Sus scrofa: one gene and its partners. The protein of the gene in region 4 interacts with the protein of the main gene of each other region in a pairwise test. Links are inferred from orthologs where the notes say so. Each region holds a gene or a part of one and is shown on either strand. Other genes may lie near its edges. The genes, in order: TRAPPC6A, PPL, RUFY1, RAB3IP and PLOD3.

Region 1 (4,300 bases), on a different chromosome or scaffold from region 4:
ACAGTCATCACTCTGGCTACGTGCAGGGACCACCCAGAAGCCGGAAGGCCCAATGCCCAGCATAACCCCCCCGCCCCCCGCCAGGCCAGCTCCATGGGAATCTCTGGCGTGGGACCCTGGCACGGGGGGACTGCCAGGCTGAGGGTCCCAGGCACACTCGTGCTCTGAAAACCCTGTGCTGCGCAAACCTCAGTAGCCGCGTGTTCCCCATTCCTGCTTGGGCACAGAAACCCATGACACTCCTCCCGGAGGAAGATGTGCTAAGACAAGCGAGAGTTTATAGCCCAGGCTCTGGAAGTGGGAGGTCTGGTTACATTCCTGACTCTGCAACTTGACAGTGAGGACTCCATCCATCAATGCCTCCATCTCCTCATCTACAAAGCGAGGAGGATGGCGCTGACCTCTGTGGGTTGTTGGGAGGATCGAATGAAATCCGGGAGTGTGAGGCCCAGGAGGGCAGGTGGTGGGGCTATTACCAGTCACAGTACTGAATAAATCCCCGTCCCTGCCACCCTCCTCCAGGGCACAGGGGCTGTGCGCCCTTCCTCCCCACATCCACACTGAGGACCTGCTGCCTGCCACATGGCCTGCAGCCTGGCAGAGGAGGCAGCTGAGAATCAAAGGACTGTGCGGAGACATCATTCAGCTCCCTATTCAATGCGATATGGGGAGGGGGCTGTGCGAACAGAACAAGGATACCTACTTCCACGGGGCGGGGGGGGGGGGGGGCCCTCAGGGAAGGCTTTCCTGGGGGAGGGGCATTTGAGCCAAGACCAGGAGGATTTAGAGGTGTCAGGGCAGTGACGAGGTGACAGGTGGAATACGCTGGGAAATGAGGGAGGAGACTGGTGTGGGGCAGGGAGGGGACAGATGGAGACATTTAGACAGCAGAACAGGCCGGGCTTGGCAGATGGTTGGAGGCAAGGGAGTAGAAGCAGAGGTTGGGGACTCCTGGATTTCGGGTTTGAAAGCTGGGACGGATGGGGTGCTGAGACCCTGCACCCTCCCCCCAGCCCCCAGGCCAGTCACTCCCCCTCCTCTGCTTTATCTTTTTCACAGCATTTTCCTCAATGTGCAAAATCTGTTCACTTACTTGTCTCCCTCACTACAGTGTAAGCTCCAGGAGGGCAAGGGTTTTGCACAATTTGCTGAGTAATCCCCAGAGCCTAGGGCAGGGTCTGGCACCTTGCAGGTTTTACAGTTCATTGAATGAATGAACTCAAAAAAAAACCCTGTTGAGATGATAACAAGCAGCACCCTTGTTAGGGCTCCCGAATGGGGAAGAAGACCTAGGCCAATAAAAGTGTCTTGCATGTACATGATGAGATCATAAAAGGAATAATAATGAAAAAAGTGGGCACAGCCCCCGCACTTACTAAGTTCCTGCTCTCTCCCTCACCCTTTCTTCTTGGAAACATTTTATAATTGAGGGTTGATGTTGCACTTAGTGCTTTAAAGTCAGAGCATTTATTTATTTATTGTTTATGGCCACACGAGCAGCATGCGGAAGTTTTGCATGCGGAAGTTTTGGGGCCAAGAGTTGAATCCTAGCCCCTGGATCCTTTTATCCCTACTGTGTGTGGCTGGGAATCAAACCCCCACCTCCACCCTGACAGGATTCTTAGTCCAAGGGACCATGGCAGGAACTCCGTGAGCGTTTATTTTTTATAAGGATCAACTTCCAAATTGCCAAGCAATTTTTTTTGTCTTTTTGCCATTTCTTGGGCTGCTCCCGTGGCATATGAAGGTTCCCAGGATAGGGGTCTAATCGGAGCTGCAGCCACCAGCCTATGCCAGAGCCACAGTAATGCGGGCCCGGGCCCGGGCCCGCGTCTGTGCCCTACACCACAGCTCATGGCAACGCCGGATCGTTAACCCGCTGAGCAAGGGCAGGGATGGAACCCACAACCTCATGGTTCCTAGTCGGATTCGTTAACCACTGCGCCACGACGGGAACTCCTGCCAAGCACGCTTCTTACCCTAAGCTTTGAGGAAGACTTCCTGCCCCCTTCCAAATGCCCTTCCCCCTTCTATTCCTCAGAAAAGGCCTTCCTCCACCATCCACCATCCATCCCTTTTCTTTCCTCGATTCTACTTAACTTTTCCTTACAGCACTTCTCACTAGCTGGTGGCATGGTCTACTTTTATTTATTGTTTGACTTCTCTATTAAAGAGTAAACTTCGCGAGGACAGGAAAATAGTCCTTGGAATACAGCAGGCGTTCAGTAAGTTTGTCGAATGAATGAATGCCTCACTTTGGGTCTTGGGTGCTGTTATGATCCCATTTTACAAGTCAGGGAATGAGGCACAGAGAAATCGAATAATCGGCTTTCACAGCCAGCGTGAGGGACGCAGGCAGTAAGTCCTCAGTATATAGCTAGTAATCATACTTATTCTAATTACTATCCGCTTACTTTGTGCCAGGCTTTGAGCTTAGGGCTTTACTCCGAGCTGTCTCGTTCAGTTCTAGCAGTAACCCGCGAGGCTGGCCCTGCTGCGACCCCCGCTTTGCAGAGGAGGAAGCCGTCGCCCGAGGTCACCTAAGCGAGGCAGGTGCGGGCAGGAGTTCGACCTGCGCCGCCCGCGGCCTCGATCTGGCCTTCCTGCCTCGGCCCGTGCCTCTTTTCCCCTTCTCCCCACCCCCAGGGCCCGGCGCTCACCCCGGGGCTGGGGTCTGGGTCGTGCGCCCACAGCTCTGCTACCATCTCGGTGTGCAGAAACTCGAACAGTGCCGCGTCCGCCATGTGCCGGCCTCTAGAGCCTAAGGACCGCCCAGCGCCTCGTGCTCTCATTGGCCCAGCTGGGGAAGCCCCGCCTCCTGTGTCTGAGCGCGAGCCCGCCTACTCTCGCTTCCATTGGTATTTCAGACTAGCCCCGCCTTCCTTCCCTGGGCTCTCGTGGTGCGCGCGTGAACCTGGGAGACTAGGGGGAGGGCTTGCTTTTCCTACATTGGCCGCACGTGACAGGCATCTCCGCCCTTCCCTCCGTCTCTTCCCTGTTTCTGGGCCCTCGAGCATTTCCATTGGCCGAGTCACTGGTTACACGCGACATCTTCCCTTTTAGAATCCCTAGTTGTCCACTAGCCTCACACCACAACCCGGAAGCTCCAGCCCAGCCGCTTTCCTATTGGTTGTGCCCCTATTCACGTGGCTCGTCGCACACGCCCTCAAAATTGGTCTTGAGGGGCTAGCTTCCTAGTTGGTAGCCGAGAAGCCCAGGTGATTGGCCGTCAACACCTGCAAAACCTGCCCTCCTATTGGTTGGGGCTGCCGCCTTCCTCCTTTCTCGGTAAAGAGCGCACTTCAGCTGGGTAGCGGATCCCGCAGGCTCGGAGCGTCGGTGACCCGGTACGGTCTTCGGTGATAGCGTTCCCCACCCCGCCCCCACTGGTGCACCCTCCCCAGAGTCCAGCTGGACTGTCCTCCTGTCTGTGACCCAGCCGTTGGTCCCTGCGCGGCTCAGGAGCCCGTATACTTGCGAAGGACGGTGCGGAGGGTGTGGCTTCTGCTAGGAGGCAAAATCCGAAAGAGCTTAGTTTGGGAGTGTGGGAACTCGTGCCTTGAGCGAGCTGGTGGTCCTCAGTTTTTCCTAAGTCAGCTGAAGAGGCTGGGGTCCAGTAGCCACCACCCCGCCGCACATCATCATCATTAGGGACGGTGAGCGCTGTTTGCTGAAAAGGAAACTGAGGCCCTAGCAAGGGAAGCAGTTGGCCCCAAATTGCTAAGAGTGGAGGGGTGAGAATCCAGAACCTGCACCTTTTAACCACCGCGGGGCGCCCGCCTCTCACATCGTCCCTTCGTGCGTCTTCTCCCTAGCTCGGCTCCATGGCGTCCCAGAGTCGTCGGCGGAGGCCGCTGCGGAGGCCTGAGACGATGGTGCCGGGGGAGGCGGCCGAGACCGACTCGGAGCTCTCTGCGTCTCGGAGGAGGAGGAGCTGTACCTGGGCCCCTCGGGCCCGACGCGTGGCCGCCCCACGGGGCTGCGGGTGGCTGGCGAGGCCGCGGAGACCGACTCCGACACGGAGCCGGAGCCGAAGGCCGCGCCGAGGGACCTGCCTCCGCTCGTGGTGCAGCGGGAGACGGCCGGGGAGACCTGGGGTGAGGAGGAGACGCCGGCACCCGCCCCTGCGCTTTCGCTGCTGCAGCTCCGGCTGGCCGAGAGCCAGGCGCGGCTGGACCACGACGTAGCGGCCGCGGTGAGCGGCGTGTACCGTCGTGCGGGCCGTGATGTGGCCGCCTTGGCCGGTAGGCTGGCGGCTGCCCAGGCCGCGGGATTGGCGGCGGCCCACAGCGTGCGCCTG
Region 2 (4,142 bases), on a different chromosome or scaffold from region 4:
GAGTTGGGCAAGAGGCTACTCCCCGCCCCTCAATCTGGTCCATGAACTTGTCCCCACCAAGGGGGAGGGGCACAGGGATATGCTGGGCTGGCAAGACCTCACAGGGAAATGCCTGGCGCTACCCAGGGCTGTGACTGTGCAAGGCCACGGGGACCCAAGAGAAGAGCTTCTCACCCCATCTTGGGGAGAGAATCAGGACTGCTTCCTGGAGTAAGAGGCCTCTAAGAGATCTGGGACCAGCCAGTCATTCAGCCAGGGGCAGAGGGTGGCTGCCTTGGGCCAGGGGTTATTGAGAAGGGCAGGACCCGTGTCCTCGTCACCCTGAGTCCCCAGAACGCTAAAGGATGGGAATTCCTTCCTTCCTGCCCTTTGCTGGGAAGGCCAGGACACTCCCAGCTTGTCTGGAGTCATTATAACCTTTTGTTGGGTCCAAGCCTCGGCCTTGGGGGACTGGGCAGATGGATGGAAGCAGGAGAAGGGGGAGCAGAGGGATGGGGCCGGCAGAGGGCAGGGTGGGGCTGGGGCATCTCCTGATGTGTGGGTGTGGGTGTGTGTGAAGAACTGGGGGGGCCCCCGTCTTGGTAGGGGGAGGACAGAACAGTCCTCCGGGGCTGGCATGGAGCATTTGATTGTGCAAGAACAGTTCAGGGACTGGACGGGACCCCAGCTGGGTTTGCGAGCCAGCTGGACCCAGACACAGAGGAACAGCGTGCAGGGCCCTGCCCAATCCCTGGGGTTGTGAAAGACCACAGAGGCTTGCGGGGGGCGGGGGGGAATCTTGGGAGGGGAGGGTAATAAATGCCCCTGAACTTGAAACAGCTTAAAGGAGAGCTGGGACCAGGGTGGGGGGAGGGGGATGAATCACAGGACAGGGGAGTTTCTGAAAGGGTTGGAACTCAAAGAAATGGAGAACCCACCCTCCATAGGCCAGTGCCCAGGCTGCTTGCACCTGTCGGACAGGTCGGCCTGGACGGGACCACAGGGGCAGGGAGGGAGCCCAGGCCAGCGTCTCCTCACCTTCCTCTGAGGCCTGCAGAGGAGTGGGGGGTGGGGGTGGGGAAGAGGAGTCTCAGGTGAGGGCACCTTGGGGCAACTGCTGAGTTCCCCACCTGCCTGAAGGCCCTTGTCAGGAGAAGTTTGGGAAAGCTGTCTCCCAGCCGGGAGCCCCCACCCCATTTTCCTTAGAGAGGGAACAAGGTGGGGTCTTCAGTCCTGCCTCCTTCCTCAATCTCAGCATCTCCACCAGGCTCCCCTAAACCCCTTATTAAATGCATACATGAGGTTTATCAAAACGGACGTGGGCTGCTGCCTCAAAGCAAACACATCAAGACATGTCATTCCCTTTCCAGGCAACCCTGGGAACCCGCGGCTCAAAGAAGCTGCCAGTTTCGCTAGTTTCGGGGCTGGAGGGGGGGGGGCAGCCACGCCCCGGAAAAATCCCCGCAGGGAGATGGCCCAGTTGCTGCTCAGCTGCTGCGCAGACCCCGAAGGAGCGGGGAGTTGGGGGTGGACAGAGGGTGGACCCCCAGCCGGGACTCCCCCAACCCCACCCCACACCCACCCATTCCTCCGGACTAGATTGGAGAACTCAGGATGGCTCTAGAAGTAATGCTCCAGGTGGCACGTGCCCCCACCTCTCGCCTCCCCGACGCCAGAAGCACCTGCTCCTCCAAGAAGCGCTGGTGAACGCCCCCCTGCCCCAGGCTCCAGCTCAGTTTCACTGCCCTGTTGCGCCCCTAGACAGCTTCCTGGGTCCCCCGCGCTTCCCCCCAACGCCCCTGCCTTGGGTGTAGCATTCTCGGGACACGTCACCCTCCACCCTGGCCCAGGAGGACCCCCCCCCAGCCCCCTGCGCAAGGCGGTCCCCTGTCCCTCCAGCTTAGTTCCCCGCCTCTAAGCGCCTAAGCTGGTGCTTTCTGGGCTCCTAGAACTCTCTGGTACCAAACAGCGTGTCTTCCCTCGGCGACCGCAGCCCATCCCCATCCCCATCCCCAGCTTGGCGGTGCTTCCCAGCTCAAGGATGACCCTCGAGCCCCGTGTTCCCGCGGGTCGCGCACTCCTGGCCGGGTTTCCCCCGCTCCCTGGGCCTCCCAGGACAATGCTTCCTGGGCCCCCGCCGCAGCCCTCAAGGCCCAGCCGTTCCCCCAACACGCACACACGCCCTGGGCGGTGCATCCTGGCCCAGCGCGTCCGCAGCGCGCGGCATGCGGGCGCCTGCTCACCTGCGGGTCCGAACCGTGGGGCTGTATTTGCCTTTGTTTCTCTTCCTGAAGAGCGAGTTCATGGTGGCGCTCGGGGTGCGCGGGCGGGGCGGCGGGTCGCGGCGCCGGGCTGGGCACTGGACGGCGGAGGGCCCGGCACGCACCGAGGGGCGGGCAGCGGGCGCAGGTGAGCGAGCGGCGGCGCGGGAGCCCCGAGTGCAGCGCGGCGGCGGCGGCCGGTCACTACTCGCAGGGGGCGGGGCGCCCGCAGGCCGCGGGCGCTCCCGGCCGCTCCCGAGAAGGTGGTGCTTACCTTCCCCGGGGAGGGGCACCGGGCGGGGCTTCCCGGCACGCCGGGCGCGCGCCCTCGTCCGGGCCCGGCTGGAGCGAGCGGGACGCCCGCCCTGGGCTGGGGAGGGGGGGGCCCGCCGCGCGCGCCCCGACGCCGGGACACTGGAGAGGCTGGGCAGGCCGGCGGGTGCGCACTGGCGGCTTTCGCGAGCAAGCCGGGGACCTGCTACCTCCCACCCCCGGCCTGGCGCGCCCCCTGGCTGAGGTCCCTCTCCAGGCTCTAGGCTGCTCCTCTGGGGCATCAGCGCTCACCTCTCTTTGGCTGACATCCCCTCCCCCCAACAGGTGTGGCAGAGATCGGATGGGTCCCTGTGCCCCACAGATAGTGAATTACACCCAGGTGGTGGCAGGGTAGATGGTAGTTGAGAAAAGGGAGCCCTGGAGTGCGCCCGCCTGAGTTCAAGTCCTACCCCCACAAACGGTCAGCTGACTCCTTGGCGAGGCATCTTGCCGCTTCCAGCCTCAGTTTCCTTATTTGTCAAACAGTGATAACCACAGCCCCCATCCCATAGGGTTCTGAGGAGATTCCTGGAGAGACACACAAAGCGCTTAGGGCAATGCCTAATGTGTCAAGTCAGACTTGGCGCCAGGTGAGCCCGCGGCCGGGCTGCGCTGGGTGCGGGCAGAGAAGGCTGCAGTTAGACAGTAAATTGAGTCTGGCCCGGGAACTAGACGGGACCCTGAGGGCTGGGAGGACTCGGCTCCACTTTGGAGGGCACTGGGGGTGCGGAGCCCAGCGGGAAGGAGCGGCGCAGAGTGAGTGAGTCAGAAAGCATGGAGATAAGCCGCGGCCAAAGGGCTAATTAGGGCTCAGATGGGGAGCTATGAGGTCTGCGGGGCAGGAGGCAGGGGCTGGCACGGGGCATCGAGTCATCACGCCAGTCCCTTTCCCAGCTTTTTTTTTTTTTTTTTTTTTTTTTGTCTTTTTAGGGACGCAGGAAAGGCATATGGAGGTTCCTAGGCTAGGGGTCCAATCAGAGCCACAGCTGCCGGCCTACACCACAGACACAGCAACACCAGATCCAAGCCATGTCTGAGACCTATACCACAGCTCACCGCCACACCAGATCCTTAACCTACTAGTCAGGCCAGGGATTGAACCCGAATCCTCATGGATAACAGTTGGTTTTGTTACCGATGAGCCTTGACGGGAACTCCCCCAGCTGTTTTTTATTTATAAAATAAAGCGATTGGGAGTTCCTGTTGCAGCTCAGTGGAAACCAATCTAACTAGTATGCAGGAGGACGCAGGTTTGATCCCTGGCCTTGCTCAGTAGGTTGAGGATCCGTCGTTGCCGTGAGCTGTGGTGTAGTTTGCTGATGTGGCTCAGATCCTTCGCTGCTGTGGCTGTGGTGCAGGCCAGCAGCTACAGCTCTAATTTGACCCCTAGCCTGGGAACCTCCACATGCTGCAGGTGGGGCCCTAAAAAGAACCAAAAAAATAAAATAAAATTAATAAAATGAAATAAAATAAAATAAAAACTTTTCCTGCTCCAGACCCCAAGACATCGGAGAGCTATGTCCTTATTCCTAAGGGGGAACCTGTTGGTGGGCTTAAGGGGATCTGTGGATCCTCCTACAGTTGCTTTCA
Region 3 (3,516 bases), on a different chromosome or scaffold from region 4:
TGCCGTGCGATGTTGGGTGGGTCGAAGACATGGCTCAGATCTGGTGTAGCTGTGGCTGTGGTGTGGGCTGGCAGCTGTAGCTCCAGTTTGACCCCTAGCCTGGGAACCTCCATGTGCTGTGGGTGTGGCCCTAAAAAGCAAAAAAAAAAAAAAAAAAAAAATGTGGAAGTTTCTGGGCCAGGGATCGAACCCACACAACAGCAGCGATCCAAGCTGCTGCAGTGACAACACTGACTCCTTAATCTGCTGCGACACAAGAGAACTCCTTGTCTAGCAAGTTTTTAGTACTGGGTGAATTCTGAGATGAATCAGATATGGTCTTTACCCTCAAGCTGCCAGGTGAAACAGCTGCAAGCCAGAGATTTACAAAACAGGAAACGGATTCTATAATGGAAGGAAGTGCAAAAGGCTATGGGAACAGAGGAGAAGGTCCCAGGCTGACTGATGAGCAAGAGGGACAGCACCGCAGGGGACCAGAGAGGAGCCAAAGAAGGAACAGAAACTTTCAGAAATGTTTACTCGCAAAGGCCTGGAGGCGAGGGAGGGTGTGCTTGGGAAACCACAGGAGGTCAGGTGGCCTGAGAGGGGCACAGCAGCAGGCAGGACTTTCTGCTGTCAAACGGGACATCTTTGCACATTCTGAGCTTGAGATCTGCGAGGGACGCGTCTGTGTGAGGAACATGCCGCCCAGCTGAGAGGCCAACTTCTCACCTCTACTCGCTTCTCGCTTCTCTCACGAATTAATTCGTTTTGTTCTCTCAATTGTTGCTGTTCTTCTTGAAGTGAACAAATCCGGTCTGTTGCAGCTGCAAGCTGATTAAGAGAGATTTTTATATTTCTTATCATCAAAATGAATCTTGCCATTCAAATGACATCTTTACAACTGCCAATGTGTTATTTTCACATATGGGATATTTTATTTTTTATTTTATATCCTTGTTTTGAATAGGTAATAACATGGTAATAACATGGTTCCTAATTCCAAAGACATAAAAACATAAACAGTAAAAGCGCTCTCCCACCCCTGCTCCTAGCCATCTCTGCCCTCCCCAGATATTCTTTTTTACAAAAATGATAGCATATTCCTTCATGTGGGCAAAGATTTATGGACACAAAATACTAGAAACAGCCTAAATGTTCAATATTAGAAATGGTTTAATACATCCCGGAGGAAGCATAAAACAGAAATAGGTAGTTATTAAAATGTTCACAAAAGCTTTTAAAGATTCGAGAACATAACACCTACAGTATGGAAATAAAGCAGGTCATAGAGTATGTTCTCACCTCTAATTAAAAAACAAAACAAAATAAAAACTCAACCATGTTCAAAATGCTTAAGAAGAGATGAGGAATATATATACATATATACTGAGGGATAAAAATAGCTATCACTTAGCCAAGGGATTATGGTTTTTTTTTTTTCTGATTCTTCCTTCTTTTTAGTTTTTCCAGCCAATGGGCACAAGGATATCTTATCACTGGAGAGAGAATTAGAGAGTCTGGGAGAGGAATTGCAACCAAACCATTAAAGGCCTACCCGAGGAAGACATCTTCCTTGCCTTGAATGAGTCAATGTAGTTTAGGGAAAAGCCTATAGAAGCAGAATGCCTTCACGGACCTGCTGAGGAGAGGCGAGCAGGAGAGGCAAGGTAGGGGAGTAAAATCCCCAACCAACCCACTCTTATCCAGCCTCTGAACCGGCCTGGAGAGAGAAGGTGAGGCTGGAGAAGGAGAAAGAAGCAAGACATCTGCCCTCTGTACTTGGCTGTGTTCTCAGCATCATTCGCTAATGAACTCCTCACTGCCTCCTGGTCAACAGCGTCCAGGTCCACGCGGACTCGAAAACCCAGACCCAGGATGGGCGTTTCTCAGCATAACAGCTGTGCCCAAGTCAGAAACTTTAAGGCTTTAAAGGAGGTGCTAGTTGCTACAAGAGAAGAAGCAGGCAAAACCCACAAGCTAGTTCCCATTCTACTCTCTGGACACAGCACATCCTGAAGACAGAGGTATGCTTTTCTCTAAAGTACATTTTCTATTACAATTGTTTGTCTTTGAAAAAAAACCCACAAAAACCCAGTTATTTATTTATTTTTTTTTAGTTTTAAAAGCTCAATTACACTTTCGTTCAAAGCATGCTACCTTATCTGGGGGAACAAAGAGTGAATCTGCTTGTTCTAAAATCAACTAAGGTGTCTTGAGTTCCTCCACATGCCAAGTGTTGGGTGAGGCACATTCATGTGGTATTAAGCAAATTTAATCTTTATACCACTACTGCAAGGCTATCATCCAATTTGGAGATGAGGAAAGTGAGGCTCAAAAACCGACCTAACTGAGGCCCGAAGGGCCCTTCACCCCGCCCTGGTGAGACTGGGCCCCTCAGTTCTAAGTGTGCTGAGGTTTCTCCCGTGTGGTCCACCTACAAATGCCGTCTCTGAATTTCCTTCTCCTGTCACAAATCTGGGCTCCTCTCCTGAAAGCTGTTCAGGGCTGGCCCCTCAGAAGAGAGCAGGAAGTTTGGAGTGAGCTTTAGAGTGGGGGCCTCCGTTACAAAGGTGTGCCCTAGGGCTCTCCACACCGTGGGGGGTCACTCTCGGCCCCCTCACAGCCCTCCTCCTCCTCCGAGAGACTTGGTGGGGAGGCCCGAGCAGCCAGGGACCGCTACCTGTGGAAAGCCTCAGAAAGGCTGAGCAACCCCCCTCCTGCTAAGAGGAGACAAGATGTGTCCGCCAAGGAGACTGCCGGGCAGCTGGCAGCAAGTTTTCTTCCTCGGCCTCAGCCCTCCTTCTTCCTGTCCTTTCATTCTCTCTCTTCCTAGTGAGAAAGCAGAGAAAGACCACACTGTGGGGAGACTGGTCCATGCTCCTGAGGGGCCGAAATACAGAAGGGGCGGGTGAGAGTACTGTGACCCATGACAGAGACTGTGCCTTCTGGGCAGCAGGGAGACACACTCCACCATAGGAAGGTCGGAAAGAGGAAGAGACAGCACGTTCACGACAGGAGCGGGGCTTTTCCAATCAGGACTCCAACCAATACTGGGCTACTGTGAGGTGATAAAACCTAGGTCGCTTGGAGTTGGCCCATGGTCAGGTGCAACGGCTCATGGGAGCTCTGGATGGGCCAGAACACGGACAGTCTGAGGATGCAAAGTTCTGAGAGTGCCTGTCCCGCGTGCAGCTCAACCCAAGGTTAGCAATTTCCATTCCTACCAGCAAGAAGCTCCTGTCAGACAGACCAACTGCACTGTTTCTTGTATTAGCCTTAGGGTCATTTTGTTTTAAGAATTTCAGTAAGTTACAAACCTCTTCTTGCAGCTTTGAATTAGTCTTTTCCAAGCCATCTATCTTGGTTTGAAGATCCCCGACTGTGCAGCTGCAAAAAATAAAATATTAGGGAGTTCTCGCCGTGGCACAGTGGAAGCGAATCCAACTGGGAACCATGAGGATGCGGGTTCCATCCCTGGCCTCGCTCAGTGGGTTAAGGATCCGGCATTGCATGAGCTGTGGTGTAGGTTGCAGA
Region 4 (3,516 bases):
AAAAACGATCCAATCTCCCAAATGTCTAGCTGTCCCTTTTCAATGTATCCACTATGGTGTCCAAGATACTACCATTATCCACACCACCAAAAAATATAATAATAATGTTGGAGCTGCTCTTAAGACAAAAGTGCACACTGTTCTAAATATATGCATAAGATTAAGTCTCTTTTGAAAATAATCAAAAAGTAATTTGGAAGCCAAGTTAATAAAAGTGTTTGAATAAATGGAGATTCACTAAATTGTGAAAGCTAGTTTGGGATCAAAAGTGACACCAATTGTTCTACTATTACCTGAAGGCATTTCCAAAAGAATTTTCCAAAATGTTTATTGTATAAGCAGCAAGACTAAAAGTAGCACACATACAGCCTTCTAGATTGACTATCTAAAAATATAACATTTATTCAGACATTTTTTGGCATTTCAGCCTCCAGTACCTACCATCTGACTGTCAACAATAATCGAGGCTGGCACCCGCCTTCCTATTCACTCTTCCAGTTGTCCCTTCTCTTCTTACCCAACTTAATAAATTTTCCCAAGTAAACTTCTCCACAGATTCCCTCAGCTCAGCTCAGTACTACCTGTCCACATATGAAGCTACACCCACCCACAGCCACCCAAACACAGAGTAGCGTCCCTCACCCTCTGGCAGCTCTAAGCCACTGTTGTCCTCAAGCACTGGATACACTATTAGTGGAGCACTGACTGCAGCCATGGCCTCTAGGACAGCTCAATCGGATGTGCACGTAGTCTACGTGAAAGTAACAAAAGCCTGACTGTATCCCAGCTTTCCTACAGACCTTCCTCTAAGGTGTACAACGGCAATCTCAATGTGAATTTTTTCATCCCAATCCATAAATTCCTTGAATCAAAGCTAAAGGCAGAAGGATAAAAATATTAGCAGGTAAGTAATACTTACATTTTCAAATTCATTCTTTGTAAAGTCTACCCTTTGATGGATATAAGGCCCAAAGTGTTCCAAGAAATGATTCTAGTTAAAAGGCAGTAATTTAAACTATTTATTAAGAGCTGACTCTGTGTCAGGGACTATGGCAAGCGCTTCACAAACATTAATCCTCAAAGTTGAGCAAGATAAATATTATAGTCCCCATTTATAGATAAGGAAACAAGGGTTTAGAGAGAAAATAACTTGACCAAGGTTACAGAACAAGAAACCAGTAAAAGTTCACATCTGAGTGACTTAACCTCAAAGCCTTGCCTACTTGTGTGTCTGTGCATGCACACGTGTGTTTTAAATGCTTTCAGAAGATAAGCTGCAAATGCATTGACTGAATGCCCCTAGCACATTTTCTGTAGAAACATGGACATGTTTCGTTTTCTTTCCAATTGTGGTATCTTTTTCTAAGACTTACACAAATTTAAGTGTTTCCTTTGTCTAAGGAAACCTTTTGACAAGTTTTTCACAAAGTATTAGATTACAGGACATATCTCGAAAGCAAAAAAATTACATGCTGCCTATTCATATTTTAAGGAAATTTCATAAACTAAAAACAAAACTTTAAAATGTAGCATGAGAAAACACTTAAATTTTCTTAGCATAAACAACAGGGGGGAAAGGTACATGATTACACTGAGAAACCACAGCAAATATGTAAGCTTTATCAAGCAATTAAAAGTGCTACTTGGAGTTCCCGTTGTGGCGCAGTGGTTAACGAATCCGACTGGGAACCATGAGGTTGCGGGTTCGGTCCCTGCCCTTGCTCAGTGGGTTAATGATCCGGCGTTGCCGTGAGCTGTGGTGTAGGTTGCAGACGCGGCTCGGATCCCACGTTGCTGTGGCTCTGGCGTAGGCCGGTGGCTACAGCTCTGATTCAACCCCTAGCCTGGGAACCTCCATATGCCGCTGGAGCGGCCCAAGAAATAGCAACAACAACAACAAAAAAGACAAAAGACAAAAAAAAAAAAAAAAAAAAAAAAAAAAAAAAAAAAAAATAAAAGTGCTACTTAAATTGAAAGAAATCAGAATTAAAAGTTATGACTAAAAGCGTTCTTTAATATTTAAAAGACACCACTGTGAATTTCAGATTTTGTCACATTCATCTTTGACCAAATATTGAACTGCTCCCTCACTATCATCTCTTCCGTTAATAACTAAACAAAATACAATTCAACTAGAAGAGGTAACCTAACCTTGGTTGTTCAGTTTAATAAACTCCTTGCTTTCATGCAAAAAAAATCTGAACAAACACACACAGCTTCATAAAGATTAATGATGACCTTGAACTCAACAATGTAAAATACAGTTTTTAAGAAAAAAATGGGCGAGAGCTGCTCCATAAATTACTGATCAATTTCCTTGGAAATACTTTTTCATTGTATTTAAGTAAAAAATATTACACAGTTTTAACAATTATTACTCAAAACTGCTCAAAATATTTCTACATTATCTCAGTTATCTTTATAACATACCGCTAAAAGGATAAGGCTATCATTAATTCTATTGTTTGTTCTTCATTATCTGAATTAACTCCAGGACTACCTTACCAATATAAAATTCTGCCTCTGGAATGTGCTGTTCTTTAAGAAAATCACCTAAATATTTTCACACATTTCTTATATTCATACTTTGCTAGAGCACTCTAACAATAAATTTTGTCTAGCCAGACCATGAAAGCCACCCACTCTCCTTCATCCAACACACAACAGTTTGCTCCCTAAAAGAAATACCGAGATTAAGAAACTTACCAAGTTTCCAGCAGGTACTCCATGGTCAGCCAGGTAGAGAAGGGAACTGAAGAATCCCTGAAAGCAGCCAGCTCTAGATAAAGCCTCCCCCATCTTAATATTGAATATTTTGTACTACATATTTTGCTGACAGAAATTATAACCGACATCTCAGTGATGAGAATAAGTATCAACAGAGTCAGAGGGGACAGTCCTGGACGAGTTACCTCTTTGCAGTCTTTTACAATTGGCTGTATCACACTGAGGTCCTGATGACTGCCACTCATAGCACTGCTTGTACTTTTATTTCGTGTATGACCCTTTTTAAAATGTGTCTTTCCACCTGGCAGAGGCTCTTGTGTAGGTGATGTCGGAGAACTGGACAATACAAGTGTCTTCAATGCAGCCACTTCAGCTTGAAGTACATCAATCTTGGGGAAAAAATCAACATAATCACATACGCTAAGTACGTTTATGATAGATGCAGCTAAATGTTAGTAATTTGGTCAAAACACTTCCCTTTCAAAGATGAAATATAAGTTTAATTTGTACTTCCTATGGAGTAATGAAAGTAAAACCAACTTTTTTAATGTTTCCATATGGTTTGGATTTAGCTGATACTCACGTGTCAGGTGAAATTTTTAAAATTATCAAAATGTCTAACATTGCACTTAAAGTGAATTTTTAACATCTCCAAAATATATTAAAAACTAGCTTATGATTAGCTGCAGTTAGTAAAACCTAACAACATTTTGATGGCTTTTTTTAGTGAGTTAGGAAAATAAACATTAACTTCAAAATGTGATTACATAACCCTTTTGATAATACATG
Region 5 (2,310 bases), on a different chromosome or scaffold from region 4:
TCTTTTTCAAGGCTGCTTCCCATCCCTCTCTTCCAGGAAGCTTTCTTGGGTTAATCTTCCCGATTCCCTTCTGATCCAAAGCAGCTACCGTCAGGTTCCAGCCTGTCTTCCCTTATAGAACACCTGCCCCCAGGAGGGCCTTCCTTCCCTAGCACTGTCCCTGCAGCCCAGCTCAGGTCTGTGCCACCCCCAGCCTTCACACGAGGGAGAAGATGCCATCAGGAGAGGAGAGAATAGAAGAAGAGAGCTGAGGAGGTGGGTTTTCACCTGAGCCAGACAAGGGAGGCCCTTTTGGTCTGGCCCTCATGCTCAGGCGATGACAGGGAGTTAGATATGGGGTCGCAGGAAGCTTCCAGGCTCCCACTCTGCTTTGGCATCATGCTTCTGCCTTTTCGTCTTTTCTGTTCTTTTCCTTTGGAGTGACCCCGGTCTCCCCTTCACTCTGGGTGGCGGGAGGGACATGGGGTCCAGAGGTAGATCAAAGAATCAATGGACGCGAGAGTTACAAATCCTCCTTTATTGAGGGAGACTGAGAAACAATAACTTATTACATGGCGAACCCCTAGAAGCCCTCTCCCTGGGAATGCTTGGGGGCTGAGGAGCAGGGCAAGGGGGCTTCCTGAGCTTCCCGAGGGCCGAGGGCCGTGTGGTGGGGGCGGGGCAACACATTCAGTCCCAGACACACGGAACATGCGCCCGAGAGGCAGGGCACACCCCCTCCAAGGAGGGAGCGCGAGAAGGCACAATGGCAGGGAAGGTTGGGCAGAGTGGTTGAGTGTCAGGGGTCGACAAAGGACACCATGATATAGCGAGTGCCCCGTGTGGTGGGCAGCCCCTCATGGTAGTGGGTGAGACGGCCAGGGTGCAGGAGCCCCCAGCCCTTCCGTGGGGACGAGATCACACAGTCGTAGCGCAAGAAACGGCAGCCGCCTCCCTGGAGGATGAGAAGGGGACGGGGTGGAGTGTGAACAGGTGCGGGGACTGGGCGGCAGCCAGGCACCCTGGTGGCACCCTGAAGTGGAGCGTGGCAGGGACCCACCTCATAATCCAGGCCCTTGTGGTTGAGGGCAACGTTGAGGGTGAAGGTGGATGAGTCGTGATGGGGCCGCAGAGAGGGCTGCTCATCCGGCCGGTAGCGGACCACGAAGTTCATGACCGCCCGGGTCTGTGGGGACATGGGAGGAGAGGCTGGAGGTGGGGGTCCTGAGGTCTGGGGAGGGGGAGAGGTGGCAGGGGCTCTCATGCTACCCCCCCCCAGGGGGGCTGCCTTCCTGCAGGATTTCACTCCATGGGGTCCCAAATGCCTCAGGAACCCAAAAGGGTGCTGCATGGAGACGGCCAGCCGGGTTCTAGGAAGGTGGAGTCAGGGTAGCAGGTTCAGCGGTCACCTTGGTGTGGTAGCCTGGGAACAGGCTCTCGGTCATGGGCCCCACATATGTCCTCAGCAGCTGCAGCCACTGGTCCTCATAGCCCACCTGCTTCATGTGGATGTCTACGGTGGGCACATTCTCGTAGCCTCCAGCCAGCCTTGAATCCTGCGGGCAGTGGGCACTAAGCTGACAGGGCAGTGCCAGCTTCCTCATCTGCTCCCAGGCCTTAAAGCTTATGTTCCCTCCATCTGGAAGTCTTGACTCCTTAGCTTGACTCACTCCTGCTGGGCCTCTGAGTCTCAGGTAAGATGCCACCTCTTCTGTGAAGCCCCTTGGTCCCCCCATGTCTGGGGCATGGGCCCCTCCTGTGACTCCCACAGCACCTGGGCTGCCCAGCACAGCCTTTAGAAGCTGGGTCACTGCTGCTACTGACAGCAGGTGAGACCTAGGAGAGCAGGGCTCGACCCGTACAATTCATCAACGCACTGCACTGCCAAAGTCAGTGGCTGGCATCTAGGACCCACCTAGCATTTCTTGAATGAATGAATGAATACAGTTGTGCCCCTTCCACTTGGGGACCCCTTTCTGCTCCCACTCTCTAAATTTCATTTTCCTTTCACCAGCCCCAGCCTCTTCTTCCTCCCAGGGGCCCTCCTGCTCCCCTGCCCCAGCACCCCACCTCATGCCGGCCTCCTGACCACTGGCCGTAATGCTCCATTTCTTCCACCAGCTCATCACACATTTGCTCCGACAGCAGAGGGAACCAGTACACATCTGGGCAGGGCTGAGGACAGACGGGGCGGGGGAAGAACAGGGCAGGGTGACGCTCGGGGAGCGGATAGGCAGCCAGTGGAAGGGAGAAGAAGCAGGGAGCAGAAAGGGAAACCAGGCCATGAGAGAATGTGGAGGAATGGGGCTGGACCAGGAGAGGGTGGCCAGA

The links.
Region 1: the proteins of RAB3IP (region 4) and TRAPPC6A interact in binary tests that used the Homo sapiens proteins (3 or more experiments, as listed by UniProt). The two-hybrid records come from large-scale screens. The link is inferred for Sus scrofa from reciprocal best matches to the Homo sapiens genes RAB3IP and TRAPPC6A.
Region 2: the proteins of RAB3IP (region 4) and PPL interact in binary tests that used the Homo sapiens proteins (3 or more experiments, as listed by UniProt). The two-hybrid records come from large-scale screens. The link is inferred for Sus scrofa from reciprocal best matches to the Homo sapiens genes RAB3IP and PPL.
Region 3: the proteins of RAB3IP (region 4) and RUFY1 interact in binary tests that used the Homo sapiens proteins (3 or more experiments, as listed by UniProt). The two-hybrid records come from large-scale screens. The link is inferred for Sus scrofa from reciprocal best matches to the Homo sapiens genes RAB3IP and RUFY1.
Region 5: the proteins of RAB3IP (region 4) and PLOD3 interact in binary tests that used the Homo sapiens proteins (3 or more experiments, as listed by UniProt). The link is inferred for Sus scrofa from reciprocal best matches to the Homo sapiens genes RAB3IP and PLOD3.

The regions. Positions count from the first base shown.
Region 1 is NC_010448.4:51,586,683-51,590,982, forward strand, and holds the start of TRAPPC6A (trafficking protein particle complex subunit 6A), read right to left. Parts: upstream 2,815-4,300; 5' UTR 2,793-2,814; coding exon 2,661-2,792; intron 1-2,660. UniProt on the Homo sapiens protein: May play a role in vesicular transport during the biogenesis of melanosomes.
Region 2 is NC_010445.4:37,459,154-37,463,295, reverse strand, and holds the start of PPL (periplakin), read right to left. Parts: upstream 2,810-4,142; 5' UTR 2,795-2,809; coding exon 2,223-2,794; intron 1-2,222. UniProt on the Homo sapiens protein: Component of the cornified envelope of keratinocytes. May link the cornified envelope to desmosomes and intermediate filaments. May act as a localization signal in PKB/AKT-mediated signaling.
Region 3 is NC_010444.4:78,994,090-78,997,605, forward strand, and holds part of RUFY1 (RUN and FYVE domain-containing protein 1), read right to left. Parts: intron 3,370-3,516; coding exon 3,300-3,369; intron 3,186-3,299; exon of another isoform or gene 2,816-3,185; intron 2,007-2,815; exon of another isoform or gene 1,888-2,006; intron 814-1,887; coding exon 712-813; intron 1-711. UniProt on the Homo sapiens protein: Activating adapter involved in cargo sorting from early/recycling endosomes. Regulates retrieval of proteins from endosomes to the trans-Golgi network through interaction with the dynein-dynactin complex.
Region 4 is NC_010447.5:34,041,181-34,044,696, reverse strand, and holds part of RAB3IP (rab-3A-interacting protein), read right to left. Parts: intron 3,117-3,516; coding exon 2,913-3,116; exon of another isoform or gene 2,764-2,912; coding exon 2,707-2,763; intron 875-2,706; exon of another isoform or gene 643-874; intron 1-642. UniProt on the Homo sapiens protein: Guanine nucleotide exchange factor (GEF) which may activate RAB8A and RAB8B. Promotes the exchange of GDP to GTP, converting inactive GDP-bound Rab proteins into their active GTP-bound form.
Region 5 is NC_010445.4:8,911,285-8,913,594, forward strand, and holds the end of PLOD3 (procollagen-lysine,2-oxoglutarate 5-dioxygenase 3), read right to left. Parts: intron 2,155-2,310; coding exon 2,050-2,154; intron 1,536-2,049; coding exon 1,389-1,535; intron 1,166-1,388; coding exon 1,040-1,165; intron 935-1,039; coding exon 779-934; 3' UTR 503-778; downstream 1-502. UniProt on the Homo sapiens protein: Multifunctional enzyme that catalyzes a series of essential post-translational modifications on Lys residues in procollagen. Plays a redundant role in catalyzing the formation of hydroxylysine residues in -Xaa-Lys-Gly- sequences in collagens.